Anolis sagrei: one gene and its partners. The protein of the gene in region 3 interacts with the protein of the main gene of each other region in a pairwise test. Links are inferred from orthologs where the notes say so. Each region holds a gene or a part of one and is shown on either strand. Other genes may lie near its edges. The genes, in order: NIF3L1, PSMA3, DMC1 and KCTD17.

The links.
Region 1: the proteins of DMC1 (region 3) and NIF3L1 interact in binary tests that used the Homo sapiens proteins (3 or more experiments, as listed by UniProt). The two-hybrid records come from large-scale screens. The link is inferred for Anolis sagrei from reciprocal best matches to the Homo sapiens genes DMC1 and NIF3L1.
Region 2: the proteins of DMC1 (region 3) and PSMA3 interact in binary tests that used the Homo sapiens proteins (3 or more experiments, as listed by UniProt). The two-hybrid records come from large-scale screens. The link is inferred for Anolis sagrei from reciprocal best matches to the Homo sapiens genes DMC1 and PSMA3.
Region 4: the proteins of DMC1 (region 3) and KCTD17 interact in binary tests that used the Homo sapiens proteins (3 or more experiments, as listed by UniProt). The two-hybrid records come from large-scale screens. The link is inferred for Anolis sagrei from reciprocal best matches to the Homo sapiens genes DMC1 and KCTD17.

What each region holds. Positions count from the first base shown.
Region 1 is NC_090021.1:176,902,487-176,910,372, forward strand, and holds the start of NIF3L1 (NIF3-like protein 1), read left to right. Parts: upstream 1-4,868; 5' UTR 4,869-4,974; intron 4,975-6,207; 5' UTR 6,208-6,215; coding exon 6,216-6,651; intron 6,652-7,886. Other genes in the region: PPIL3 (peptidyl-prolyl cis-trans isomerase-like 3), read right to left, coding at 2,622-2,624. UniProt on the Homo sapiens protein: May function as a transcriptional corepressor through its interaction with COPS2, negatively regulating the expression of genes involved in neuronal differentiation.
Region 2 is NC_090021.1:334,685,893-334,692,769, reverse strand, and holds the start of PSMA3 (proteasome subunit alpha type-3), read left to right. Parts: upstream 1-3,868; 5' UTR 3,869-3,976; coding exon 3,977-3,997; intron 3,998-6,877. UniProt on the Homo sapiens protein: Component of the 20S core proteasome complex involved in the proteolytic degradation of most intracellular proteins. This complex plays numerous essential roles within the cell by associating with different regulatory particles.
Region 3 is NC_090025.1:163,973,141-163,980,461, reverse strand, and holds the start of DMC1 (meiotic recombination protein DMC1/LIM15 homolog), read right to left. Parts: upstream 3,011-7,321; 5' UTR 1,880-3,010; coding exon 1,823-1,879; intron 1,330-1,822; coding exon 1,285-1,329; intron 715-1,284; coding exon 568-714; intron 1-567. UniProt on the Homo sapiens protein: Participates in meiotic recombination, specifically in homologous strand assimilation, which is required for the resolution of meiotic double-strand breaks.
Region 4 is NC_090025.1:166,112,661-166,120,227, forward strand, and holds the start of KCTD17 (BTB/POZ domain-containing protein KCTD17), read right to left. Parts: upstream 3,022-7,567; 5' UTR 2,866-3,021; coding exon 2,620-2,865; intron 1-2,619. UniProt on the Homo sapiens protein: Substrate-adapter for CUL3-RING ubiquitin ligase complexes which mediates the ubiquitination and subsequent proteasomal degradation of TCHP, a protein involved in ciliogenesis down-regulation.

The DNA of each region.
Region 1 (7,886 bases), on a different chromosome or scaffold from region 3:
TTCAGACTTTACATGCCTCCCCCCCCCCCTTTTTTTTTGGTCGTGTCAGGAGCGACATGAGAAACTGCAAGTCGCTTCTGGTGTGAGAGAATTGGCCGTCTGCAAGGACGTTGCCCAGGGGACGCCCGGATGTTTTGATGTTTTATCATCCTTGTGGGAGGCTTCTCTCATGTCCCCACATGAGGAGCTGGAGCTGACAGAGAGAGCTCATCCGCACTCTCCCCGGATTCGAACCTGCGACCTGTCGGTCTTCAGTCCTGCTGGCACAGGGGTTTAACCCACTGCACTCCCGGGAGCTCCTATGCCTCCCCCTGACTGGCTGAGAAACCTTGCCGAATAGGATCCACACAGGGATTTTTTTTTGTCGTGTCAGGAGCAACCTGAGAAACTGCAAGTCACTTCTGGTGTGAGAGAATTGGCCGTCTGCAAGGACGTTGCTCAGGGGACGCCCGGATGATTTGACACAGGGATTGGCCAGGGGTTTCCCTGATGTCACTGACAGGAGGAGGAGATCCCCATGGCAGCAAGAAGAACAACAACTGATGTTTGGTCACTTTAAAGGTCCAGTTTGTTGCAGAGACACCCGCTGGAAGGGCACAAAACTGAGGGAAGGGATGACATAAGTATTCAGATGATTCTTTGATCTTGATTGACTTAAGTGTCCAGTTCCAGAGAGACAAAGGTGCAAGACCCACAGGACAAAAGATGATAATCCCAAATAACAAGAGGCTGGGCTGCCTATTCAGAAGATTAATGTATTCATATTTGTTTAGCTTTCACTTCCATGAGAATGGCAGCCTCCATCCTCATTTGAACAGGAAAACATCCTAAGCATATCTTTGTAGCAAAAGGATCAGATCATCTGTCTCACATACATACACAAAGGATTTTATCTGGCTTGGGAGATCCTTGTTTTATATAGCAATTTCCGTTCCCAGGAGCTTATGCAAACAGGGGGCATTGGGGCAGCAGATACCTTCAGGCTACATTTGATACAAGTTTATACATTTAGATATTGATACAGTACATAAGCAATACAAGTTACACAGAGAGTAGCATTTTTATACATTCATTAAGGCAGGGGTCCTCAAACTTTTTAAACAGAGGGCCAGGTCACAGTCCCCCAAACTGTTGGAGGGCTGGATTATAATTTGAAAAAAACATGAATGAATTCCTATGCACACTGCACATATCTTATTTGTAGTGCAAAAGACACTTTAAAAGAATATAATAATTAAAATGAAGGACAATTTTAACAAATATAAAGTTATTAGTATTTCAATGGGAAGTGTGGGTCTGCTTTTGGCTGATGAAATAGGATTGTTATATTTGTTGTTGTTGTGTGCTTTCAAGTCTTTTCAAACTTAGGTTGACCCTGAGCGAGGGCCAGGTAAATGACCTTGGAGGGCCGCATCCGGCCCCCGGGCCTTAGTTTGAGGACCCCTGCATTAAGGGGTTAAGCTTTGATAGAGTTTGGGACACAGTTCTAGCTAGATCCTCTGCGGCTTCAATATCGCAAATCTCTGAATGGGTGGGAAATGTTTTAAAATTAAAGAAAAAATCATATTTCTTGCTTGGGGTCTTTTTATTGTTCATAACCTTTTGGAGGGGGTGTGCCATGGCTTGACAACATCATCATGGGAAAAAGGTGTCTCAACAGAAGTTTTATTACCAATCCTGTTTCCGCAAAAAAACATTTTTTCCAAAATCTGAATAGGGGCACAGACAGCAAAACAAATGCCACAGGGGTTTTAACCTTTCCCTATGCTGTCCAAAGCTTATATATGGGGGGAGGGGTAGATGGAGATACGCTTAAAAATGTTTCTGTTCTAATTAAACATACAAATTCAACTTCATAACAAACCTACAAAGTGACAGACTTTGTATTTCTAGGTGCAAAGATTACTGCAGATGCAGACTGTAGCCAGGAAATCAGAAGACGCTTACTTCTTGGGAGGAGAGCAATGTCCAGTCTCGATAAAATAGTAAAGAGTAGAGACATCAGACTGGCAACAAAGATCCGCCTAGTCAAAGCCATGGTCTTCCCTGTAGTAACCTATGGATGTGAGAGCTGGACCTTAGGGAAGGCTGAGCGAAGGAAGATCGATGCTTTTGAGCTGTGGTGCTGGAGGAAAGTGCTGAGAGTGCCTTGGACTGCGAGAAGATCCAACCAGTCCATCCTCCAGGAAATAAAGCCTGACTGCTCATTGGAGGGAAGGATACTAGAGACAAAGTTGAAGTACTTTGGCCACATCATGAGGAGACAGGAAAGCCTAGAGAGGACAATTATGCTGGGGAAAGTGGAAGGCAAAAGGAAGAGGGGCCGACCAAGGGCAAGATGGATTGATGGCATCCTTGAAGTGACTGGACTGACCTTGAAGGAGCTGGGGGTGGTGACGGCCGACAGGGAGCTCTGGCGTGGGCTGGTCCATGAGGTCACGAAGAGTCGGAGATGACTGAACGAATGAACAACAACAACAACAAACCTACAGAATCTTGTTTGTAACTTGAGGACTGCCTGTATACTCTAAAATAGTGTGTTTCTAAATAGACAGCTACCTGTTTCTCAAGGAATACCTTGCACGCAGTTAGGAAGAAGATATTGAAACAACCAGCCTCACCATCTGTGCAGACAAGGAATTCAAATCAGAGCCACCTGAAGAGTTTCTGCAAAAAAACCAGAAAAAATAGCTATAATGAGTGGAAATGTGGCTTTGCATGCTAAAAGCAATATTGCTCTAGTAGTAAAGGCATGGAGGAACCACTTGGATGAGAATGATTGTACTATTTTTGTTTTTAGCAGAGTGACCAGACTGAATCCCACAGTTGAGAAAGATTAGCATATTTATTATGACATGAAAAGCAATCCAAAATGTTAAAGCTATAATGCATCTGTCAGTTTCTAAGGTGCCAAAAGCTCTGTTTTTCCTGCAACAAGTCAATTAAAACTGAATTTAACATTAGCATGGTTTTTAAAAACCCGGAAGAATTGGCATTATTTTAAAAGGGCAGAGGCATGTACTATTTGCAAGGTTAAAGAGTTCTTATCCAAAATGATTGGGACCAGAAGAGTTTTGGATTTCAGAATATCTGCATGTACAGAAGTAGATAATGAGATATCTTGGAGACAGGACCTAAGTATATACACCTTATACATAAAGTCTAGATCCACTATGCTAAAAAAAGTTCAAATAGGAGTATTTGAACTGTCAGGGGTACTTTGATTGTGCTTTTCATGCATTGATAGTTATGTACATGTGTATTCTGAATACATGAAGTTGTGAATAAACCAAGTATGTTATTTTTAACTAACTCTACTTCATTTTTGTCTAGAGTGCATGATATTAATCACTGAGCCTGGAATCCCAGGTTGCAGCGGTGGCCAGGGGAGTGTTCACACAATTAAAACTTGTGCGCCAGCTGCACCTGTACCTTGGGAAGTCAGACTTGGCCACAGTGGTCCACGCTCTCGTTACATCTAGGATAGACTACTGCAACGCACTCTACATGGGGTTGCCTTTGAAGACTGCTCGGAAACTTCAAATAGTCCAATGAGAGGCAGCCAGGTTAATAACTGAGGCGGCATACAGGGAGCATACAACTCCCATGTTATGCCCAAATTACCCGGCCCAAATTACCTGTCCGAACGCATCTCCCCCTATGAACCATCACGGAGATTAAGATCCTCTGGGGAGTCCCTGCTTTCCGTCCCGCCATTGTCACAGGCACGATTGGTGGAGACGAGAGACAGGGCCTTCTCGGTGATTGTTCCCCGGCTATGGAACTCCCTTCCTGGTGAGATCAGGTCGGCCCCCTCTCTCCTGTCCTTTAGAAGGATGGTAAAAACTTGACTCTGGGACCAAGCTTTCGGGACAGGGCAATAAAGCGGCAATAGGAAAGATGACCAGGCCAATGATTTGATGCGGATGACTAGGACGGTTTTAAATGGTGTATTTTAATATTTTGATAAATGTTTTTAATGTTTATGTATGTGTCCCAGCATTGAATGTTTGCCGTATATATGCTGTTCTCCGCCCTGAGTCCCCTTTGAGGTGAGAAGGGCGGAAAATAAATGTTTTAAATCAATAAATAAAACGAGTTTTTTATGGGAGAGAAAAAATATTTTTGGACACTAAAAAAACTTCTGAAGCACTGCTGTTTTTTATGCACTGGAAAAATCTGTTTTCCTAACAGATCAGAGATAACAGGTTATTCAGTCTAACAACTGAAACCATTGCCTTGCATTATTATATCTGGTTGCATACCACAAGAGAAGGGTCTCCTCTAAAGGGTTTTTGGCTCTACTCTGAAAGGTCTAAAAAGATCTAAAAAGTTATGATCTCCAAATGGTTATGAATGCCATTTTCTCCTTCTACTGGGAGGAGGCTGATAGGCATGAAGTAACTGGTTCAAAACACATAATGAATTCAACTGAAATACATTTTAAAACACACAACCCCCCCCCCTCCACACACACACACATACACACAAAATCTCACTCAAAACGACCATGGAAAGGTTTTACTCCTGCAAAGAGATCAGGGGTGCGCCTCTACTCTGTGGAATGAATGCTTTTTGATCCCATGGCTCGCTGCTCATGGGAGTTGTAGTTTTACAAGGTCTTGCGCCTTCTCCACCCAAGAGTACTGGATGCCACGCCAAACTGCAGCTCCCAGGCCTGCATAGCATTGAGAAGAGGCGGTTCCAGTGGGACCAAACGGCACCCATTGCACTACAGCGGGGCCTGCTTCCCAGGAAGCGCCTGGCCCAATGGGGCGCTTACTTACCTTCTTCCCGCCAAAAGGCCCCTTTCCTCTTGCTTGTTGTCGTCCTCCTACTTCCTGGTGAGGCCCCGCCCCCGCTGCCACCCGCTAGGCCACGCCCCCTTCCTCTCTCCAGCAGAAGAGGGCCGCCTTGCATTCAAAACGTGCTCCAGCTGGAAGCCCTCCCAGTCTATCCCAGGCTGGAAGAGAGGTGAGAGGGCCATTCAGAGACAACCCCCCCCCCCCAATACCAGGAAGGAAGGGATTTTAAATGAAGGAGGGAGGAAATTGGGAAGGGAAGTTGCTGGGATGGATCTACACTGAGGAATGAATGCAGTTTGACCACACATTTATGCCCTGGCTCAGTGCTATGGGATCAGGCAGTACATTTTCAGATCTGCTCATCTGTCAAGGATTAGGGTTGTTGTAGGTTTTTTTCGGGCTATATGGCCATGGTCTAGAGGCATTCTCTCCTGCCGTTTCGCCTGCATCTATGGCAAGCATCCTCAGAGGTAGTGAGGTCTGTTGGAACTAGGAAAAAGGGGTTTATATATCTGTGGAATGACCAGGGTGAGACAAAGGACTCTTGTCTGCTGGAGCTAGGTGTGAATGTTTCAACTGATCACCTTCATTAGCATTTGAAGGCCTGCCTGAGCCTGGGAAAATCTCTTGCTGGGAGGTGTTAATCTGTGCCTGGTTGTTTCCTCTCTGTTGTTTTGCTGTTGTAATTTTAGAGTTTTTTTAATACTGGTAGCCATATTTTATTCATTTTCATGGTCTCCTCCTTTCTGTTGAAATTGTCCCCATGCTTGTGGATTTCAATGGCTTCTCTGTGTAGTCTGACATGGTGGTTGTTGGTGTGGTCCAGCATTTCTGTGTTCTCAAAGCACCTGATGAACCAGCCTGGACACAGCATATTATTTGAGAACACAGAAATGCTGGACCACACCAACAACCACCATGTCAGACTACACAGAGGTTCAATTCCATTATTGCTGGAGTTCAGAATGCTCTTTGATTGTAGGTGAACTACAAATACCAGCAACTACAACTCCCAAATGACAAAATCATTTTTTTGAGTCATGGTCACTCCATGGGTTAGTAGGTGTCTTGTAGCCAAATTTGGCAGCAATTCGTCCAGTGGTTGTTGAGTTATGTTAATCCTACAAACGAACATTATATTTTTATTTATATAGATGTATTTGTGAAATATCCAGTTTTTTGTAGGGCCCTTCCAGACAGGCCCTATATCCCATAGTTTGATCCCAAGTTTTCTGTTTATCCCTGATTTCTGATTATCTGGTAGTGCAGACTCATATAATCCAGTGTAAAGTAGAAAACCTGGGATCAGATCCTGGGATATAGGGCCTGTCTAGGAGGGCCCTAAGAATGTACTATTTATCCTAGTATTTCTAATTGTATCGTTGCCTTTGGCGTTCTTTAGGCACCTGCATGCAGTTCTCCTACCTGAAGCCAACTCCGCAGCGCCTCTTGAGTGTCCGGTCCTGGATTGATGTGCCTTTGAGAGCCTTCATGGATCTTAAGGTCCTGGTTTCTTCCCTCAATGGGTTTGCTCCGCTGTCGCTGGCTGAGAGTTGGGACAATGTGGGGCTCCTGGTTGAACCAAGCCCTCCCCATACCGTCAGCACCCTCTTTTTGACCAACGACTTGACCGAGGAAGTGATGGAGGAGGCCCTCCAGAAGAAAGCCAATCTTATTCTGTCTTACCACCCACCCATTTTTCAGCCACTCAAACGCCTAACGTGGAAAACGTGGAAAGAGCGTCTCATTATCCAAGCCCTGGAAAACAGAGTTGCCATTTATTCTCCCCATACAGCCTACGATGCTGTGCCCCATGGAGTCAACAACTGGCTTGCCAAAGGACTTGGTGAGACATCCCTTTTCTGAATTTTTCAAGAATTGGCAATGATGTCTGTTGTCTTTTAAAAACATTTACATTGTAATTTTACTCTCAATGCTACTGTTTTCTGTTGCTGAAAGCTGACATGTCAGCACCAAGCTCACGTCACGCAAATAGTGGCTTACTTATAGATGGTTGTGTCAAGTTATGTGTGGAGGGGAAGCTGAGAGTAGCAAACCAATTACATGGTTTAAACAATGGCATATATGAAAAGGTAAGTTCACACCATTCTTTGAAGCATAATGAAGATTAGGTGATTGACTTGTGTGTCCTCCCATGGTAGGCAAAATTCCCTCTCTTTGACTGACAGTCCTCATCATGACAAGCTGTTTTGACATCATCCTTCACTACAGTTAACGCTACACATGTTTCCTTATGGTAAGCCACTTTGAGTCTCCTTGTGGAGAGAGAAAGCGGGGTATAAATAAACATTGTAATAATAATGATAATATTTATTTATTTATTTTTGTCATGTCAGGAGCGACTTGAGAAACTGCAAGTCGCTTCTGGTGTGAGAGAATTGGCCGTCTGCAAGGACATTGCCCAGGGGACGCCCGGATGATTTTTGATGTTTTATCATCCTTGTGGGAGGCTTCTCTCATGTCCCCGCATGAGGAGCTGGAGCTGATAGAGGGAGCTCATCTGCTTCTCCCCGGATTCGAACCTGCGACCTGTCGGTCTTCAATCCAGCCGGCACAGGGGGTTTAACCCTCTACGCCACCAGGGGCTCAATAATAATAATAATAATAATAATAATAATAATAATATACAAAGACTCTGGCACATGCCAGTAAAGGTGGTCCCAGTGGTGATTGCACTTAAAAACAGTGGTGATCTGCACTTAAAAACAATTGACGCTGACAAAATTGCCTTGTCAGCTGCAAAAGGCCAAAACTCGGACCTGCATGCATTATTTGCCGATACGTCACACAGTCCTAGACACTTGGGAAGTGTCCAACGTGTGACAAAAGCCAGCATAGTGATCTTGTTTGCTGCATACTAATCTTGTGTATTTATCTATCTATCTATCTATTATTATTATTATTGACACAAAAGCACAGTATGTCACAGCAAACGAGATCTATATGCTGGATTTCGTTTTACAAAATCACAAGTCGAACACTTCCCAAGCGTCTAGGACTGTATTATTATTATTATTATTATTATTATTATTATTATTATTATGCTAGAATTTTAAAACC
Region 2 (6,877 bases), on a different chromosome or scaffold from region 3:
TATTTAACATTCCAGCTTCTGGCCACCAGGGAAGCTGTCACTTCACTGCAGTTTCTCATGAGAATATGGGCCTAGCAATGATAATTCCCTCCCTCCCTCTATGAGCTCTCAAGATTTGGGTTTGGAAAACAATCTGACACCTGAGAATTTTAATGAGCAGCCAGAAAGGGAGCTGAAGAATAGCCAAAACAGAGTCTTAAATGCAAAGGCAAAGTTTCCAATATCCAAAGGCAAATAACATGAAGTATAATCCATTAGCATTGGTTAAACAAGAATCCATGGCAGCATGACAAGGTCCCCAAAAACCAAGATCAAAAGCTAAGTCCCAAAGAGCTAAAAGCTTTCCCCAAAAGCCGAGTTAATTCCAGAGAGGTTAACGGGGTTTAAGCAACATTGCACTGGCAAAGGATTGACTTCAATCAGATCGTTAAATATGTTTCCCTAGCATGAAAGCATTACGTTGACCTCAAACTTCCCGTTTGTTGGCAAGCTGAGCACTTTGACATATCCTTAATTGCAAACAGTCCTCCCTAATCAAATCTCCATCACCTTCAAGGCCAGATAACTCATTATCCTGAGACTGGTTATCCTGGGAACCAAGAGGCACTGAGCTCCCAGATGGAGCGGCCGACTCCACCGGCAGATGTGAAGATTCACTTAAATCATGATCTAAAACAACATACCCTTCTCTGGGAAACAGAAATGCCGTCTCTTCTTCAGAATCAACACTGTCTGTCTCAACAACAGGGACAGAAATCTGTAACCCATCCTCCTCCTTGTCCTGAGGAAACTCAGGCTCAGAAAGCTCAGGCTCAAAGTGAGCCACAACACAATGGCATAGACACACAACATATATAGGCCGACACTCAGAGGCTATTTAACATTCCAGCTTCTGGCCACCAGGGAAGCTGTCACTTCACTGCAGTTTCTCATGAGAATATGGGCCTAGCAATGATAATTCCCTCCCTCCCTCTATGAGCTCTCAAGATTTGGGTTTGGAAAACAATCTGACACCTGAGAATTTTAATGAGCAGCCAGAAAGGGAGCTGAAGAATAGGCTGCAGGTGATTAGCCAGGATCGACAGCAAACTTCAGTGTTTTCGTTGCTCTGAAAAACTTTGCCTGATAAGGGGTAAATGTGGGAGAAAGCGAAACCAATTTCTGAGTTTTGGGGTATAAGGTTTGCCTCAAGGGGAAACCTATTAGATCAGGCATCGTTTGGAAATCAAGTTCATGTGCCAGGAGCGGGACGCAGGGAGCATACAACGCCCTTGTTGTTCCAGCTCCACTGGCTGCCGATATGCTACCGGACCCAATTTAAGGTGCTGGTGTTATCCTACAAAGCCCTAAACGGTTCCGGCCCAAAATACCTTTCAGACCGCATCTCGGCCTATGAGCCCACGAGGGCCTTGAGATCGTCTGGGGAGGCCCTTCTCTCGATCCCGCCTGCTTCACAGGCACGTCTGGCGGGGACGAGAGAGAGGGCCTTCTCGGTGGTGGCCCCCCGGCTGTGGAACGCCCTCCCTGTTGACATCAGGCAGGCGCCCTCCCTTATGTCTTTTCGTAAGAGCCTAAAGACATGGCTATTTGAGAAGGCATTCAATTAAGTGTACATCAACTGGTAATGACAACTGGAACGGAATATGGATTACGAGTTTGGTTATGATTCTACGATAAGACGGAGCGGATTACCTTAGTATAATTATATTAGTGTGTATTAGTGATATGTTGATTTTTTGTCGTGCTTTATTGTAAACTGTTTTTTATATGTTGTACACCGCCGTGAGTCGCCCTAAGGGGCTGAGAACGGCGGTCAACAAATGCAGCAAATAAAATAAATAAATAAATAAATGGAAATCCTGTTCAAGGGGTCCTGTTTCTCTGGAGTCTTTTAGCCTTTTGGATTGTCTTTGCATCCTGTTGATTCCTGTCTGGATTAATGCTGTCTTGGATTGCTTTTATATCTGGTGTGGACATTGCTTTGTGTTACTACCTTTTATGGACTTACCACTTTTTGGAACATTCTTATTTTCTTACAAGCATTTATTACTTCTGGCTATTTACTAAGCTTGAATAACATATTTGTTTCTTCACTCTTCGTGTGGTGTGTTTTAAAGTCAGAGGGCTTTTTCCTGACCTGGAGTGCAACAGTTATAATATATATAATATATAATATATGTTGCAACATTTGTTGTTCTCACTAGATTTGGAATATTGTGATTCTGATGGAAATAAGAAAGAAAAATATAAGGAAATATTTTTTCAGTCAATTTCTTGTACAGCTGGAGGGATCTGAAGATAATTTTCTGTTCATCTGCATATGTACATTCTCACCTGAATGTAAAAGTAATTGAATTTACAGGGTTGTTGTAGGTTTTTTCGGGCTATATGGCTATGGTCTAGAGGCATTCTCTCCTGATGTTTTGCCTGCATCTATGGCAAGCATCCTCAGAGGTAGTGAGGTCTGTTGGAAGTAGGAAAAAGGGTTTATATATCTGTGGGATGACCAGGGTGAGACAAAGGACTCTTGTCTGCTGGAGCTAGGTGTGAATGTTTCAGCTGACCACCTTGATTAGCATTTGATGGTTTGGCAGTGCCTGGGGGAATCTTTTGTTGAGAGGTGATTAGATGTGCCTGATTGTTTACTCTCTGTAAACAGCAAAACAACAGAGGGGAAACAATCAGGCACATCAAAGAGTTGGAAGAGACCTCATGGGCCATCCAGTCCAACCCCATTCTGCCAAGAAGCAGGAATATTGCATTCAAATCACCCCTGACAGATGGCCATCCAGCCTCTGTTTAAAAGCTTCCAAAGAAGGAGCCTCCACCACACTCCGGGGCAGAGAGTTCCACTGCTGAACGGCTCTCACAGTCAGGAAGCTCTTCCTGCTGTTCAGATGGAATCTCCTCTCTCTGACAGTGCCTAGAGCAAACTTTTTTGAGAGGTGATTAGATGTCCTTGTTTGTTTCCTCTCTGTTGTTGTGCTGTTGTAATTTTAGAGTTTTTTAAATATTGGTAGCCAGATTTTGTTCATTTTCATGGTTTCCTCTTTTCTGTTGAAATTGTCCACATGCTTCTTGTGGATTTCAATGGCTTCTCTGTGTAGTCTGACATGGTGGTTGTTGGTGTGGTCCAGCATTTCTGTGTTCTCAAATAATATGCTGTGTCCAGGCTGGTTCATCAGGTGCTCTGCTATGGCTGACTTCTCTGGTTGAAGTAGTCTGCAGTTTGGTGGTCCCTATGTAGGCACATGTAATCACCTCTCAAAAAAAGATTCCCCCAGGCACTGCCAAACCATCAAATGCTAATTAAAGTGGTCAGTTGAAACATTCATAGTATATATAATATATGTTGCAACATTTGTTGCTCTCACTAGATTTGGCATATTGTGATTCTGATGGAAATATAAAAGAAAAATATAAGGAATTTTTTTTTCAGTCAATTTCTTGTACAGCTGTGACACAGTTATTGTTGATGAAGTCCCAAAGAGGTGAATTGAGCTTTTAAAAGAAGATTCCAGCTATTCAGTTTACCATAATAGGAGAAATAATAGGTTTTATTTGTAGATTTTGATGTAAACAAAAACTGACCCGCCCAACGTGGGGCTCGAACCCACGACCCTGGGATTAAGAGTCCCATGCTCTACCGACTGAGCTAGCCGGGCGCTGACAAAGACCCCTCACAGAACCTTCCTTGTGGAATTCTTCGCGCATGCGTATTCGCAGATTATCGATTGTGGATTTCTACGCATGCGCATTCTTTTCCTCTGCTGCCGCGCGCCAACTGCGGCTGCCGTGACTGGGCGCATTCTTGGCCCCGCCCCTTCTGCTAACGGCGAGAGGAGATTGGTCGAAGCTCCAGAGGCGGTTGTCCAATGGTTGGGCGCGTTGCTGAGCAGTGACTGAGCAGTGTGAGTGAGGCGGCGGCAAAGAAGAATCAGGAGGGCCGGCTGTTTGCTCTCAGGCCTCTTCCGCCATGAGTTCCATCGGCACCGGGGTAAGTCAGGTAGAGGAGAAGGGAGAGGGCTCCCCCGAAAAGGAAAACAAAGGCGGTGGTGGTTAATCTCTCCTCACTTCGAGGGTCTCGGCCTCACACAGTGCGGTGACGTCATATCCGCGCGACTCGTAGAGAGAGGCCTAGCCAGTTGTAGGCCGCTGACTCACTTGAAGGGAAAGCGAAAGCGAAGGAATCAAGTAGGAGCTTCTAGACCAAGCCTGGCCCAACTTGGGCCCTCCAGGTGTTTTGGACTTCAACTCCCACAATTCCTAACAGCCTATGACTGGTATAGACACATCCATAGTCCAATGTTTAAAGCATTACACCATCTATTTTCCTATATAACAGTGTTGCTCAACCTTCCTAATGCCGTGACCCGTTCCTCATGTTGTGGTGACTCCCAACCATAAAACTATTTTAGTTGCTACGTCCCACCTCGGAATTTAAGATCTTCTGGGGAGGCCCTGCTCTCGGCCCCACCTTTATCACAAGTGAGACTGGTGGGGACGAGGGACAGGGCCTTCTCGGTGGTGGCCCCTCGCCTGTGGAATGCACTCCTCTCCTTCAGAAGGAAGTTAAACACCTGGATGTGGGACCAGGCCATCGACCTCAGAGTTTAAGATCTTCTGGGGAGGCCCTGCTCTTGGCCCCACCTTTATCACAAGTGAGACAGGTGGGGACGAGGGACAGGGCCTTCTCGGTGGTGGCCCCTTGCCTGTGGAATGCACTCCTCTCCTTCAGAAGGAAGTTAAACACCTGGATGTGGGACCAGGCCTTCGACCTCAGAGTTTAAGATCTTCTGGGTGCTCTCGGCCCCACCTTTATCACAAGTGAGACAGGTGGGGATGAGGGACAGGGCCTTCTCGGTGGTGGCCCCTCGCCTGTGGAATGCACTCCTCTCCTTCAGAAGGAAGTTAAACACCTGGATGTGGGACCAGGCCTTCGACCTCAGAGTTTACTCAGCCCCCCCGAAAACCCCCTGAAAAAAAATCACACCCCCCCCCGAAACGAAATCCTAGCTATGGGCCTGGCTGTGACTGTATTATTTTGATTGTTTTAATTAGTTATAATTGTTGACATTATCTTGGAATTTTGTATATTGTATTTTGTGAATTGTCGGCCATCGAATTGTGCCTTTTGTAAGCCGCCCTGAGTCCCCCCTAGGGGGTTGAGAAAGGTGTGGTAGAAGCACCCCAAATAAATAAATAAATAAACTTGATTTGTCGTGTCAGAGCAACCAGTCAATTATATTACATTTGTAACAGAACAAAGCAAACAAACAGACAAAATACAAAACTTGTGAGTTTGGTAGTTGGTTAAATGTCCTTTGACCAGTATCTGGCCACTTGGAGTGCCTCCGGTGTTGCTGCAAGAAGGTCCTTCATTGTGCATGTGGCAGGGCTCAGGTTGCATTGCAGCAGGTGGTCAGTGGTTTGCTCTTCTCCACACTCGCATGTCGAGGATTCCACTTTTTTTGGCCCCATTTCTGAAGGTTGGCTCTGCATCTCGTGGTGCCAGAGCGCAGTCTGTTCAGCGCCTTCCAAGTCGCCCAGTCTTCTGTGTGCCCAGGGGGGAGTCTCTCATTTGGTATCAGCCATTGGTTGAGGTTCTGGGTTTGAGCCATAAACTGTCATTTTGCTATTGTTATGAAACGTGATGTAAATATCTGATATGCAGGATGTATTTTCATTCCCTGGACTAAATTTGGCACAAATACTCGTTACGCCCAAATTAGAATTCTGGTGCGATTGGGAGAGAGGAGTTATTTTTGGGGATTGGAGTTGCTGGGATGTATAGTTCACCTACAATCAAAGAGCATTCTGAACCTCACCAATGATGGAATTGAACCAAACTTGGCACACAGAACTCCCATGGCCAACAGAAAATGCTGGAAGGGTTTGGTGGGTATTGACGTTGAGTTTTGGAATTGTAGTTCGACTACATCCAGAGAGCATTGTGAACTCAAACAATAATGGATCTGGACCTAACTTGGCACGAATACTCAATTATTATTATTATTATTATTATTATTATTATTATTATTATTTATACCCCACCACCATCTCCCCAAGGGACTTGGTGCGGCTTACATGAGGCCAAGCCCAACAGCACATCAATAAAACAGAAAAACAATAAACAAAACAATACAATGCTATACATTGTATTGGGACTAGAATATGCCCAAATGCAACCACTGGTGGGGTAATCACACCAAATTTGGCAATAAAACGTCTCACAACACAAGGAGTGACCATCACTCAAAAATTACGATTTTGTCATTTAGGAATTGTAGTTGCTGGGATTTATAGTTCACCTACAATCAAAGAGCATTCTGGACCTCACCAATGATGGAATTGAACCAAACTTGGCACACAGAACTCTCATGGCAAACAAAAAATGCTGGAAGGGTTTCGTGGGCATTGACCTTAAGTTTTAGAGTTGTAGTTCACCTACATCCAGAGGGCACTGTGGACTCAAACAATAATGGATCTGCACCAAACTTGGCACGAATACTCAATATAATAATAATAATAACAAATAACAACAAATAACAACAAATTAAACATTTAAACAGTATAAAACCACAATAGAAGCAATAAAAACAACAAAACCAACATCATTATCATCGGCGTCTCCTAGTTAAATAACGTTGTCCAAGTTCCATTGTTGAATGACAATGCTTGCTCATATAACCATGTCGTAACTTATCTCCGAAACGTTAAGAATGAGGGAGCTGATCTAATCTCCTTAGGGAGGGTGTTCCATAGCCGAGGGGCCACCACAGAGAAGGCCCTGTCTCTTGTCCCCACCAAACATACTTGTGATGAGGGCGGGATTGAGAGCAGGGCCTCCCCAGACGATCTTAAAGTCCTAGATGGT
Region 3 (7,321 bases):
TTTCTCAGGATACTTCCTCATCACCATGGAGTGAAACAATTAAACCAATCAGAGACTCTTCTGTATTTCCTGATATGTACATAGATTTTCCTGGGCTTGCTGCCCTCCAGGAGAGCCGCACCCCAACAACTGATTGGCCCTCCTCAGGCCAACCCCCTTCCATCTCCTTCCCTCTACCAGGAATCCCCACCTGGAGGCGGCAACGTCACCAGAGCACCAGCCAATCAGGACACATGTATAAAACCTCGTGTCTCTGTATTGCATGTTATGCCTGTACATTTTTGGCACCAACCTTACTTGCATCCTTCCTGGATAGATCGTAAAATAAACCTTGGTGGCTGTCTTCAGCTGGTGAGTGTGTTCTTTATTCTGGAACACTGGCTGTTAGCATAAATGCTCGCCAGGAACAGACCCTTCATATCCGCAGTCCTAGTCCAAATTCAACCCCATAGTACCACAACAATTCTAATCTACAATGGCTTGCTAAGCATATTAACTATTATACATTCTTAACATCCAAAGGACCACTGATGATAATCTTCATTATGAGCAATAGAACTTTCTTACTATAAGCTTGTTGGCAGCCTCTTTTATCTTCTCCACTTTAGCCTCTGAAAGTCCCTTCACGTTGCATAGTGCTCGTTTTGTTGTCATTTGAATCCCTTTGATTGTACAAATTCCCACTGATTTTAACTTTTTGATATCAGCCACATTCTATGAAAAGAGAAAATATGATTTGAACTCTTGATGTCTGTGGATGTTATTCCTGGAACATTAATCAGTCACAATTTTATTTTTCCTTACATTTAGGTTTTTCTAAAATGGGTTTTTCAGTGCTGATTTAGGATTTTGACCCTGTTCTCCAGAGTCATTGTCATGGTTCAAACTACTATGCCACATTGGCTCTATACAATCTGTAATTTATTAGAACAGTGACACAGAATTATTATTTTTTGTCTGTTGAGATCATGGAGAGACACATTCAGGGTGGAAGGAGAATATGTCAGAGGAAGAAATATTTCAGTGCCTAGGACAAATGCCTGCAGTATGCAGCGGCGTCACCCTTTTCTCACTTTCTGCCACAATATTTTTTTTCTTTCTGGCACCATTCTCTCTGCTCCATATCTTTCTTTCTATCCAGCAGGGTGCCAAAGGAGAAACAGACCACTCTTTCCAGAGGTCTGAAGTTATCAAAGATTTTAAACATTTGACTGTGGATCTTGACTGGCTATCCTTTTACAAGACAGACAGTATTAGTAAAGAAACACTTTAGAATGTACTTACTATTCCATGCTTCTGTAAAAGATCAATATCCTGGAAAAAGGATTCCTGAGGGAATATGAAAAAAAAACAACAACCAGAAGCTTGGTTATTTTGCTATTGAGGTTGAAACAGATGTGGATCTCCACCCCAAGGTTAGACCAAGGATTGAAAGGATTTTGCTGTCTGACAGGTAATCTCTATCTGTTAGGAAGTCCTTCTTATCACCCTCTGGTTGCCTGGACTTACAATATGTATAGCATGAATGGGCAAAGTCAATAAACCACTCTTGGGATGCCAAATATGGGGGAAACATGCATTCTCCAGTGGCTGTCTGATCACTTCCAACCGCAGATACTGAGGTTCCTGGGTTCAGTTCTGATCCGCATTTAGCGAATACTGTGACCACTGTTCTAGCCTCAAACTGATTCCTGGGGTGTTTGTGTAGGTGCTGTACATTGAAACAAGTTTGTTTTAATCCACTACTAAACTTCATTATGCCTTCAGTATAGATAGAAGCATCCTCAATGACAACAAGTGCTGATCAGCTTTGAACCCTTACCTCATCATCTTGGTATCCTGGTTCTTCTTGTACAACTTGATCTTCCATAGATTTCATTGTGAAGGAAGTGGTTCTAAGATGTCAGTATGTACTGCAGAAAGCAATTATATAATGTTAACATATATAAAGATAAAAAGAAATATCAACAAATAGTATATTAACAACAACAAAACTGTATTATATCCTGCCCCATTTCCTCGTGGGGACTTAGGGTGGCTCACAGACATAAAATGGCCAATATTCAATACCCTGTACAGTAATAAATAAGTAATACAATTTAAATAAAATACAATTTAAATAGAAGTGCATTTTGAGACTGGCACTGATCTAAGTACTCTCCGAATCAATGACAAAGAAAGATAGATTAATAGGTCCTTTTTAAATAAAGGGTTAAAATTTAAGAAATGGTTCTTGGCATATTAGCCTTTGAAATTAATCTGGCTCATTTTCAGTTCACCATACTTGTGAATATTTGTAATACATATTTAAAGCAAAACTATTGCTGTAAGAGACATAGTTACTCTTCACACTAATGAGCTTTTGCAACCAGATTTATTTATTTATTATTCAAACTTATATGCCGCCACTCCCCTGGGGCTCGGAGCAGCTTACACGAACAGGCTAAAAACTAACACAATTTAAAAACAATTTAAAACAATTTAAAAACAACTTAAAAACAATATTAAATGTGCATCTTATTACCATATATATATAAGGGAAAGTTGTACATTTCCATTGAACCCCAATATTTCCTTCACTCTGAAGCAGCAATAACTAGTTTATCAGAGAAAAGTGCTAGACTCTCTTCCCTACATCACTAGATAATTTGATACTATAACCTTGCAGATTTTATATGGCATTGTTTCCAAGTGCTTCCCACACAAAAACTAGACAATCAAATTGTTTTGAGAAAACGAGACAGTAAAAATTGTAGATTTCACAATCTCAAAAATAAAGTTACTGTTTCACTTTCAGTATGTTTCATTCTCTTCTAATTATAGCATACTTGAACCTGTAGGATGACACTTGTCACCCAATCACTCAGCTTCAATTCAGTGAGATAACAGCTGAAAAGAAAAGAGTTATTGAATCAAGGAAAAGAAATTCTACTGCTTTCCACGCATCATGTTTCAAAATACCTTTTTGGAAAATATCAAAATATTTTTTCCTGAAGTGATATAACAATAATTATTGCAGTATTGAAAGGTGGGAAATAGTAATGGAAAAAAAGAAAAAGAACATGTCTATCTATTTTTGAAGATGACCTTGTTTCATCATTGTTCTCAGCTCTAAAATGCATAAAGATAGCCAGTTGGATCTGAAATATAAAGAGAATTCCACGCAGAAAATGCAAAATTAAAACCACAGATGTGAGAAACAGATAGGGCGTTGGATATCTGAAGTTGGAGAAGTTGCTGCTCATCTGTTTACGCTCATTTTTAATTTAGTTTTAATTAATTTAGCTACAAGCATAATCTACACATTTACAATGGCATATAGGCCCAGGAATAGAAAATAGGATTGCTGCTGAGGAAGGGAGAAGATGGCCTGCTCCTTACAATCCATGTACCAAATCTTGACGGATTTTACTTCAGCTTTATGAGGCATCATCCTCCATAGTCCAGAAGGGAAGGATAATTTCGGGAGTCTGGAACAGGCCATGCAACACACAAACACACTTTCATGCTACAAGAAGAAATGGATGCGGGATCAGGAGGAATGGTAACACCCACTAAAGATGATTGCCTAACTGATGCATATTAAGGCTACACTCACATAGGCCCAAAACACTGTGTCTTAGCCATAACATCAGTATATACAGATTATAGGGTTGACAATCTATATAAATAAAAATGTAATGTTTGTTTGTGGGATTAACATAACTCAAAAACCACTGGGCCAAGCGATACCAAATTTGGATACAATACACCTATCAGGCCAACGAGTGACCATCACTCATAAAAACACTGAAAAACAGTGAAAGAGATTTTAAAAGCCAAAAATTAAAAGTAATACATTACAACACATGCGCAAAACCACATATATACACATATAAACATACATACATACACACACAAAGCACATATACACAGACTGGCCGCAGCAATGCGTGGCAGGGGATGGCTAGTCTATATAAATAAAAAAGTAATGTTCATTTGTGGTATTAGCATAACTTAAAAACCACTCAATGAATTGACACCAAATTTGGACACAATACACCCATCAGGCCAATGAGAAACCATCACTCATAAAAACACAGAAGAGACTTAAAATGCTAAAAAAAAAAAAAAAAATACAACGCATGCGCAAAACCATATATATACATGGCAAACACACACATATACACATATATATACACACACAAAGCACATATACACAGACTAGGCCACAGCAAATATATAATATGGCTAATATATAATATTTCTGGTGGGTTTGTATCTGTGTGTAAAACCCCTCATGTATACATAATTACAGTTGCAGCAAGTATTTCAGAAAAGCAAATTTCTGAAATACTATGGAGATTAACTGAGGCAAGTTGCACTCTCTCAGCCTCAGAGGAAGGCAATGGTAAACAACTTGCCAAGAAAACCCTGTAATGGGGGCAATTTTCGGGTTCCCATAGACTAGAAAGGACTTGAGGGCACACAACAATAATATATTATGTTTGCTTCATAAGGATGGTAGGAACAAATCCCCAGGGTACACAAAATGTGCTCCATCGGAACAACTCCCACCAGATGACAGTGGAAGTCACCTTTCAAAGGATGAGGAAGTCTTCTGACACGCCTTAGTTATTTCCAGTGTGGGATTAAGTCACCTTTCCCAGATCTTTCTCAACATATATTTGTGATCTGTCTGTCTGTCTGTCTATCTATCTATCTATCTATCTATCTATCTATCTCTTTTTAACTCAGTGACACTGCTATAAAAATAAAATGAAAATATAGCAAAGGAATTTGCTGGGGAAAGAGGGCTTTGATGCTTCAAGCGAGAGGCGGCTCACGAGGCCAGACTAGGCCGAGTTACCTTCTTCTCCCGCTTGACCTGAGAAGAAAGCGAGCCTTTCTCCAAAAAATCTTGACTGAAAGGAATATTTGGACAAAAAATGAATAAGGAGATATTATGTATCGACTGTTTGTGATCTGTATTGGTATGAGCTGCCTTGAATCTTTTTTTGGAGCGAGGGGAGATGAAATGTATTGTGTCAAGCCATCACATTCACTAGGGTTAGGGGCACAGGACGTAAAATTACCAGGGAGAACACTTCTCTACAATTTCTTTACGTCTTCTTGCATGACTCTATAGCAGGCATGGGCAAACTTCAGCCCTCTGACTGTTTTGGACTACAACTCCCATCATTCCTAACAACCTCAGGCCCCTTCCTTTCCCCTCTCAGTCGCTTAAGCTTAAAGGAACAGCCCCTCTCAGCTAAGGAACAGCTAAGGAAACTAAGTATGTGTAATGTATTGTCGAAGGCTTTCATGGCTGGCATCACTGGGTTGTTGTAGGTTTTTCGGGCTATCTGGCCATGTTCTAGAAGCATTCTCTCATGACGTTTCACCTGCATCTATGGCAGGCATCCTCAGAGGTTGTTGAGGATCCAGCAGCTAGCTTTGGTGAATAAACATGTGAAGCAATGAAGACATATGAAATATCCTAAACAGAATGATTCCTAGTTTGTTTGTTTGTTTTTGTTTTTTTGCATAAACAGATTTTCTATGAAAACAAACAAATTCATTATTAACTCTCAGCCCCTTAGTTAGCATATGGAGTTGTGGAAAGACACATTATGGTGAAGCACAAAACTAAGATGCCGCAATTAGATGTGCTTTTCTAATTTCCAATTTCAAAATAAATTTTCAAAATGAAATAAAACAGGTATGTACACGTGCACAAGAATTATCTTTATTAAATATTTACCATGGGAACAAAGGATACAGCGTGATTTATCATCTAATTTACAAAGGAGGGGATTACTTTTCATTCCTTGGAAATGTCAAAAATCCCTTTAAAGGACTAACAAAAGATTCTGTATTTATAAGCTCAATCTTTCCTCTTAAAATAAGAACTAAAGACTAAGGAAAGAAATGACATATTTCCATTAAGTCCATATTTTCATACAGTCTCTCACAGCAAAACTGTTGGATAAAATTTACAAATCCTGATTAACCTGGTTTGATTTACGCTATCGTGCTATTTTATGTGTCTTCATATTGACCTCACAACCTCTGAGGATGCTTGCCATAGATGCAGGCGAAACGTCAGGAGATAATGCTTCTAGAACATGGCCATATAGCCCGAAAAACCTACAACAACTAAGTATGTTTAGTTTGCAGAAGAGAAGGTTGGGGAGTAATATGCTTCTTCCTTTCCTGGAAACTCTTGAGACCAAAGGCCAATGGCTTGTTGCATCAACACTGGCCCACAGCTCACCGCTGTGAATTACGAAGGTAAAATATGGTGTAAATATCCTTTTCTGGTGCTCAAGAAACTGTGAACACGGATCAACAGATTCAAATGACAAGAAAAGAGAATCAGGAGCAGTTGATGAACCAACCTGGCCACAGCATATTATCAGAGAACACAGAACTGCTGGACCACTCTAACAACCACCAGGTACACTACTACTCAGAGAAGCCATTGAAATCCACAAGCATGTGGACAATTTCAACAGAAAGGAAAAAACCATAAAAATGAACAAAGTCTGGCTCCCAGTATTTTAAAAACTCTAAAATCAGGACAGTAAATAAAGAACAACATTCAAAAACGGGAATTCCAGACAGGAAACAATTAGGGCCAGCTAACACATAACAACAAAGAATTTCCCCCCAGGCAGCAACCAGCCAGGCTTTGAAGCTGCAAGGCCATTAAATGCTAATCAAGGTGGACCATTGCAACATTCACACTTGCCTCAAACAGACAAGAGTTCTTTCTCCCACCTGGACATTCCACAGATATATAAACCCCATTTTCCTAGTTTCCAACAGACCTCACAACCTCTGCGGATAGATGTGGGTGAAACGTCAGGAGGGAATGCTTATGGAACATGGCCATACTTGGCCGAAAAACTCACAGGAACCCAGTGCTTCCAGCCATGAAAGTCTTCAACAACACAAATCAAGGGAACCTCTTTGATAGTATTGACAGTTGTGATTGGAAGTGGCTAGTTTTAACTACAGATCGTCTGCATTTTAAATTGTGTTTTTATTTTATTTGATGTATTAATAGTGGGTTTTTTTATACTCATGTACTGCTTGTGTTATATACTACACTTGTAGCACCTTGTAAGCCGCCCCAAGTCCCTTTATTAATAAGGATACCCTACTCCAGAGGATAGTAGACTATCCTTCACTATTGTTATGGGGTTACCATTTCCCATGGTGGTTTAACTGTGGATTCCTGCATGGCAATGGATTGGACTAGCAGACTCTTGTGGTTCCCCACAAATCTATAATTCTGTGGTTCTAGTTCCTATGTGTATCAGTGCAAACACATGCT
Region 4 (7,567 bases), about 2.1 Mb from region 3:
GGAAATGGCATGCCTCTGAAAGGCACAGGAGCCAAACAATAAAAGTATTTCCCCGGGGCCACATTTCACCACAGTCCAACTCTGGTGTACACAATGAAAGTGATGCCAGTAGTGCCTCAGGGATAAATATTTTCAACAAAATACATGTCATGGGTCAGATCCCCCAGAAGAGAGATCTTCAGAGACCTGTGGGGTGGGAAAGAGTTCCAATCCCTTGGTTTCACAGTTAACTTGATTTCATTGCTAACTCTAGTACTGACTGCAGCTGGGCTCTTACCCAAAGTTTTATTCTATTCCAACTCTCTGCGTTTCGACCCGATCCCAGCCCAGAGAACTTTGCCTCTTTAAGCAGCTTATGTACACTGCTGGGCCGGCTGTCCCCTTTCCTAAATCTCCCCAAATCCAAAACCTAATGGGTGGGGGCATGTGCAGTGGAGAAAAAATCTGGTGTATCCTGAATCTAAATTGAGAAACCCCAGGGTCACAGGTTGGAAGCAAAACTGCTGTGCGGATGTGACTTTGCAGAAACAAAGAATTGAACGAAAGAGGTTTTCCTTTTCATGTGGGAGTACTGAAAACTGCCATCACAGGGAAGTCAACTGGGGGTCTGAGAGGCCTGGGGTGCATCTACACTGTAATGAAAAATCTCAGGACTCCAAAGCACTGAGCCATGGCAATTAAAGCGATGTCAAACTGCATTCATTTTACAGTGCAGGTGCACTCTTTGTCTATTAGTTGGAAGTTACAGGAAAGCACACTTTTTGATGTCTTTCCCCGGATAGGATCAAGGGTCTGGAGAACAAGCTCTATGAGGAGTGGCTTAAAGAGCTGGGCATGTTTAGCCTGAAGAAGAGAAGGCTGAGAAGAGACATGATGGCCATGTATAAATATGTGTGGGGAAGTCATAGGGAGCAGGGAGCAGCTTTGTTTTCTGCTGCCCTGGAGACAAGGATGCGTAACAATAGCTTCAAACTACAGGAAAGGAAATTCTACCTGAACATTAGAAAGAACTTCCTGACTGTAAGAGCTGTTCAGCAGTGGAACTCTCTGCCCCGGAGTGTGGTGGAGGCTCCTTCTTTGGAAGCTTTTAAGCAGAGGCTGGATGGACAGGGGGTGCTTTGAATGCAATTTTCCTGCTCCTTGGCAGGAGGTTGGGACTGCAAAGAAGGAGGAGCCCCCACCACATTCCGGGGCAGAGAGTTCCACTGCTGAACAGATATCACAGTCAGGAAGTTCTTCCTCATGTTCAGGTAGAATCTCCTTTCCTGTCAAACTGAACTTTTCCTTCTTTGGAATCCCTGTGAAGCCTTTTGGATCCGAGAGACTATAGATGCAAATGGAAGGAAAAAGAGATCCCATCTACACATTAGGAAGAGCAGAGTTGGGATGGATGACTCTGGGGATCCCTCCCAACTCTAGGATTCTAGGAAGGATTGTTTTCTCAAGTCAGGAGCGACTTGGGAAAGTGCAAGTCGCTTCTGGTGTGAGAGAATTGGCCATCTGCAAGGACATTGCCCAGGGGAACGCCTGGATGTTTTGATGTTTTACCATCCTTCTCTCATGTCCCTGCACGGAGAACTGGAGCTGACAGAGGGAGCTCATCCATGCTCTCCCTGGATTCGCACCTCCAACCTGTCAATTTTCAGTCCTGCTGGCACAAGGGTTTAATCCATTGCGTCACCGGGGGTTCCTGAGGTGAGATCCAAATCAACGAATTTTGAGCCCCATTTTCTATCCAATGGCCTATCCTTAGTCCAATCAGAAAAGAAGTTTGCTTGTTTAATAAGGCCCGCATGGCATAAGCCAGAAATCCTTCAAACAATGACAACGTAAAAATAAAGGGGGAAGAAGAAGGAAAACACTGGGACTTCACTCTTGGGGATTTTCTACCTCCAAGGAAGACTCTTTCATTGGAGTACAATTTGGAACTTTTGTGCACATGTGTGTGTCAGGACCGACTTGAGAAACTGTAAGTCAGTTCTGACACTGTTTATGTTTGTGTGTGTCAGGAGTGACTTGAGGAACTGTAAGTCGATCCTGACATTGTTTGTGTGTGTGTGTCAGGAGCGACTTGGGAAACTGCAAGTCGCTTCTGGTGTGAGAGAATTGGCCGTCTGCAAGGACGTTACCCAGGGGACGCCCGGATGTTTTGATGTTTTACCATCCTTGTGTTAGGCTTCTCTCATGCCCCCCATGGGAAGCTGGAGCTGACAGAGGGAGCTCACCCCGCTCTTCCCGGATTCGAACCTCCTACCTGCAGGCTCAAGAGTTTATTGTAACCCATGGCGCCACCGGAGGCTCCAGTTTGGGAGTACAACTCTAAAACACCTAACAGTATTTACAAATAGACACCAAGATCTGCCTGGAGATATGTGTGCATCCAAACGGGCCATGAGCGCTTGGGGATCCCTATGGAGGCTTTGGGATTCCTTTGGAGTCTAACCAACAGGGCACATGTACAGGCAAAGCATTTCAGCGATTCCAATGGAAGTGCATGCCCGGGGATGACAACACAGAGCGCTCAGAACATGCTCTAACCGAGGCGCCCCTTCCTTCCTTCCTTCCTTCCTTCCTTCCTTCTTTGCTGGCTTCCCTCCCTGCCTCCCTTTGTTCGCTCACCCGATCCGATTGCAGCTCCTCGCCTTGGCAGAGGCGGCAAAGGAAGGACTTCTGCTCGCGGCACAGGGTCTGCCGGGTGGTCAAGAAGACCGTGCCGCCGACGTTGAGCCGGACCCACTTGCCTCGGGGGCCGGGACCCGGGGGGCTGCCTTCCCAGCCATAAGAAGGAGCAGCAGGAGCAGGAGGAGCAGCAGCAGCAGCAGCCTTCGGGCCCGCCGGCGCCGCCTCGCCTCGCTCCATCCTCATCTCCGTCCCTCCTCCTCCTCCTCCTCCTCCTCCTCGCCGCCGCCACAAACAGGCGGGACTCCCCTCGGGCAGGTGTAGTGAGGCCGGCGCTGGAGGATTCTGGGACTTGTAGTTTTGTTCCTTTCCCCCACGACGGAAAGGAGGGGCTGAGAGAATGCAGTGGGAGGGTCTTCCTTGCTCCCCCCCCCCTCCTTTTTTTTCAGAAGGAGCTGAGAAGCTTTCCAAGAGCTTCAGATGCCTCTGCTGTGATTGAGGAAAAAGCTAAGCAGCGCCACCCGGGTGAACTGCATCTGCTCTTAAACCGACTTGCATGAAATCTGCTATGAACGAGAGCCCTCCCGAGAGAACCCCACCAACTGAACCACCTAAACTGGTCTATCCAATGGTCCCTGACCAACTGAACCACCTAAACTGGTCTATCCAATGGTCCCTGACCAACTGAACCACCTAAACTGGTCTATCCAATGGTCCCTGACCAACTGAACCACCTAAAGTGGTCTATCCAATGGTCCCTGACCAACTGAACCACCTAAACTGGACTTGACAGGCCAATGGATACTCCAAAGCATGCTCTACTCCGAACTCCAGAACAGAAAACAGAATGTTGGTGGGCAGGAAAAGAGATTTAAAGATTGACTCAAAGCCAACCCTAAAAACTCTGACATAGATACTAAAAACTGGGAAGCCCTGGCCCTTGAGTGCTCCAGCTGGAGGTCAGCTGTGACCAGCAGTGCTATGGAATTTGAAGAGCAGGAATAGAGGGCAAAAGAGAGAAACGTGCCAAGAGGAAGCCATGTCAAGCCCACCCTGACCGGGACCACCTCCCACCTGGAACCAACATGAATAGGGCTCCACAGTCACCTACAAGTCCACCGCCAGTACATCCTACTCGGACAACGAGGGATCGCCTAAGTAAGTAAGGATACTTCGCCACAGACATCAGAAGAGCTGCAAGAGCGAGAACAAGCTAGGAAAGTAAAGACAAAGATCCACCCAGAGGAAAAGTGTTCTTGCCATACTTCAAGGGATAATAATAATAATAATAATAATAATAATAATAATAATAATAATTAACCACTGACTGCATAGGGAAGCTGATGAGGAAACACAACCTACAAACTATCTACAGACCCACCAAGAAAATCCAACAAATACTACATTCAGCAAAGGACAAGAGGGATCCTCTCACTTCTGCAGGAGTCTACCATGTACCATGCAGCTGTGGACAAGTCTACATACTACATAGGGACCACCAAACACAGCGCCCAAGCACGAATCAAGGAACATGAAAGGCACTGCAGACTAATTCAACCAGAGAAGTCAGCCATAGCAGAGCACCTGATGAACCAACCTGGACACAGCATTTTATTTGAGAACACAGAAGTGCTGGAACACACTAACAACTATCATGTCAGACTACACAAAGAAGCCATTGATATCCACAAGCATGTGGACAATTTCAACAGAAAGGAAGAAACCATGAAAATGCATAAAATCTGGCTACTAGTATTTTTTAAAAAAAAACTCTAAAATTATAAGAGTAAATAAAGAACAACACTCAAACACAGGGGAATTCCAGACAAAAAATAATCAGGGACAGTTAGTCACCACTCAACAAAGGATTCCCCCAGGCAGTAACAAGCCACACCTTGGAAATTGTCAGGCCACCAAATGTTAATTAAGGTGACTAACTGAAACATTCACACCTAGCTCCAACAGGCAAGAGTTCTTTCTCCCACCCTGGACATTCCACAGATATATAAACTCAATTTTCCTAGTTTCCAATAGGCCTCACAACCTCTGAGGATGCCTGCCATAGATGCAGGCAAAATGTCAGGATGGAATGCTTTTAGAACATGACCACATAACCCAAAAAACCTACAAAAACCCAGACCCCTCAGGGTTCATTGTGGAACAGTGGTTCCCAACCTTTATTTTGACCAGGGACCACTCTCCAATATTAGCACCAAAAGGGTTACAAATCAGGTTTTGGTCAACTTTAGATTTGGTTTGGTTATTTTGAGTGCTGATTCAGAAAATGGCATTGGCTAAACCACATCAGCTCTAGTTTCTGATACATAACGTATGTCATCCAGTAGTCACCATCTGCTCGCCCACAGAAAACCATATGGTCTGGAGAACAAGCCTTATGAGGAGAAGCTTAAAGAGCTGGGCATAAGAGAAGGCTGAGAGGAGACATGATGAGGACCATGTATAAATATGTGAAGGGAAGTCAGGGGATGGAGGGAGCAAGCTTGTTTTCTGCTGCCCTGGAAACTAGGATGTGGAACAATAGCTTCAAACTACTACCAGAACATTAGGAAGAACTTCCTGTGAGAGCTGTTCAGCAGTGGGACTCTCTGACCTGGACCATGGTGGAAGGTCCTACTTTGCAGGCTTTTAAGCAGAGGCTGGATGGCCATCTATCGAAGGTGCTTTGAATGCAATTTTCCTGATCCTTGGCAGGAAGTTGGACTCGATGGCCCCCGAGTTCTCTGCCAACTCAGTGATTCTATGATTCTATGATCTTCAAAAAGGCCCGCAAACAATTGAGGATGCTTAGCCCTGAGGTAGGGCAGTTCAAGTGATGTCCGCTCACCCATAGAAAAACATATGGTCTGGAGAACAAGCTTTATGAGTTTGCTACTGAACACAATTCAAAGTGCTGGCTTTAGCCTATAAAGCCCTAACCTGTTCCGGCCCAGCTTACCTGTCTGAATATATCTCTCCTTTTGAACCATCTAGGAACTTAAGATCATCTGGGGAGTCCCTGCTCTTAATCCCGCCTTTCTCGCAGGTGCATTTGGCGGGGACGAGAGACAGGGTCTTCTCAGTGGTGGCCCCTCAGCTGTGGAACTCCTTTCCCAGGGATATTAGAGCAGCCCTTTCTGTCTTGACCTTTCAGAAATGAGTAAAAACCTGGCTGTTCGAATAAGCTTTTGGAAGCACAGCATAACAGATAAATACAGTACAATGAAATAATGAACACGGAAAGGCTTAAACGTTGTAAATGGATAAGAAGTTGAACTGGAAGACATTGATGATTATAGTTTAGATGGTTTTATATGGATTTTTATTATGTGATATTAAATGTTTTTAATTGATATGTATGTATCTTTGTTGTGGCATCTAATTGTTGCCAATCTGTACACCGTCCTGAGTAGCCTTCGGGCTGAGAAAAGTGGGATAAAAATGCTGTAAATAATTAAATAAATAAATGTACATGTGATCAGTCTTGTTTTTAAATACAGGCACTTGTTCACAGCTGATCACAACTGATTGTAACTCCTGGCTTTGTGCACATTAGGTCACAATTTCCCAAGCTGTTTGATGTGGTGGACAGCAATGTAGTAAGGAGCTCTAGCATATATGTGCCACTTATTGCCATATTTGCATAGTTTCCAGTAAACTTGTTGCTCTTGGCTCAGAAACCAGCCTTGCGTAGCACTGAATTAGGTGGCAAACACAACTGCAAGTCCATAACTTGTGACGCAGCATTTAAAACAGGCTGGATAAATGCGGTCTTTTAGATGTGGAATTATAATGCCCAGCAAGCTAAAGCAATAGTGAAGGGTTTCAGAAGTCATAAGTCAATATTGGAGGGCCACAACCTGCTTAGCTTTGTCTTAGTATAGAATATACATAGAATGTCCCATGATATCTATAAAAATAATATGCAGGGCAGTCAGCTAAAAGCAGGATTTGGCTAGTTACTTAAGATAGATATCTATGACAGATGCATCCATCTGTAGAATAGATGCATCCATAATTAAACCTCCCTTCCAAATGGTGTTATATCACTCACAGATTTTGCAATCATGCTGTGACATGATTCAGAGGCAGTACTTTTCTTTTGCAGATGTGTTTTGTCACTTGCAGAACAGAAGTGTACAAATGTAGAGCAGCGGCTTCCTTAGCTGGTATTGCTAAATTCTTTTAACATATTGGGGGTTTCAAAAATTAAAAAGGCACCTTGGTGTTTTTCCAGAGTATAAAACAGGCTTTACAGGAAGTGTAAATTATTTGTGGTATACCTGAAAGCTTTCCTTGAACCCTTCCCACTGAATTTTCGCCAGGAGCTATCCCTTCGCTTCACTTTCCTTGGTCAGCTTTCCTGAACTTGGTGCTCTCCTAATACAGTAGATTACAGCAGTGTGTTTGGTCTTCCAGATATTTTGGACTTTAGCTCCCAGAATCCTCGATCATCGGGCAATGCAGGTGAAGCTTCTGAGAGTTGAAGATCCAAACACCTCAAGAATTAAAATTTAGGAAAACATCAAACACTTCAAATTGTGTTTGGGATGACAAGAGGTAAAAGCCAAAACATCTGAATAGCAGAGAGTTTGCCCTATATTGGGGATACTGGTGAGCAAAAGTAGTGATGGGAGATTGTGGGAGTTGCAATCCAACATCTTGGAGAACCGCTGTTGTGTGTCCATATTATATGACATGATTTGGCCACATCAAAAGACTTCAGAATGTAAAAAAATGTGTAATTCTAAATGTGAAATATCATTCCATATCATCGCTTTCCGCCAAGGATTATTATAAAGAGATTGTGTCATTAGGGATGGAAATAATATTTTAAAATGTTCTTAAAATAATATGTTTCCTAAGTGTTAAGTAATTCTGATTAGAAGCAATCTGAACTGATAAGTGTTGTATATCAGCCAGAGACTGCGGAGGCTGATGGTTTAACTAA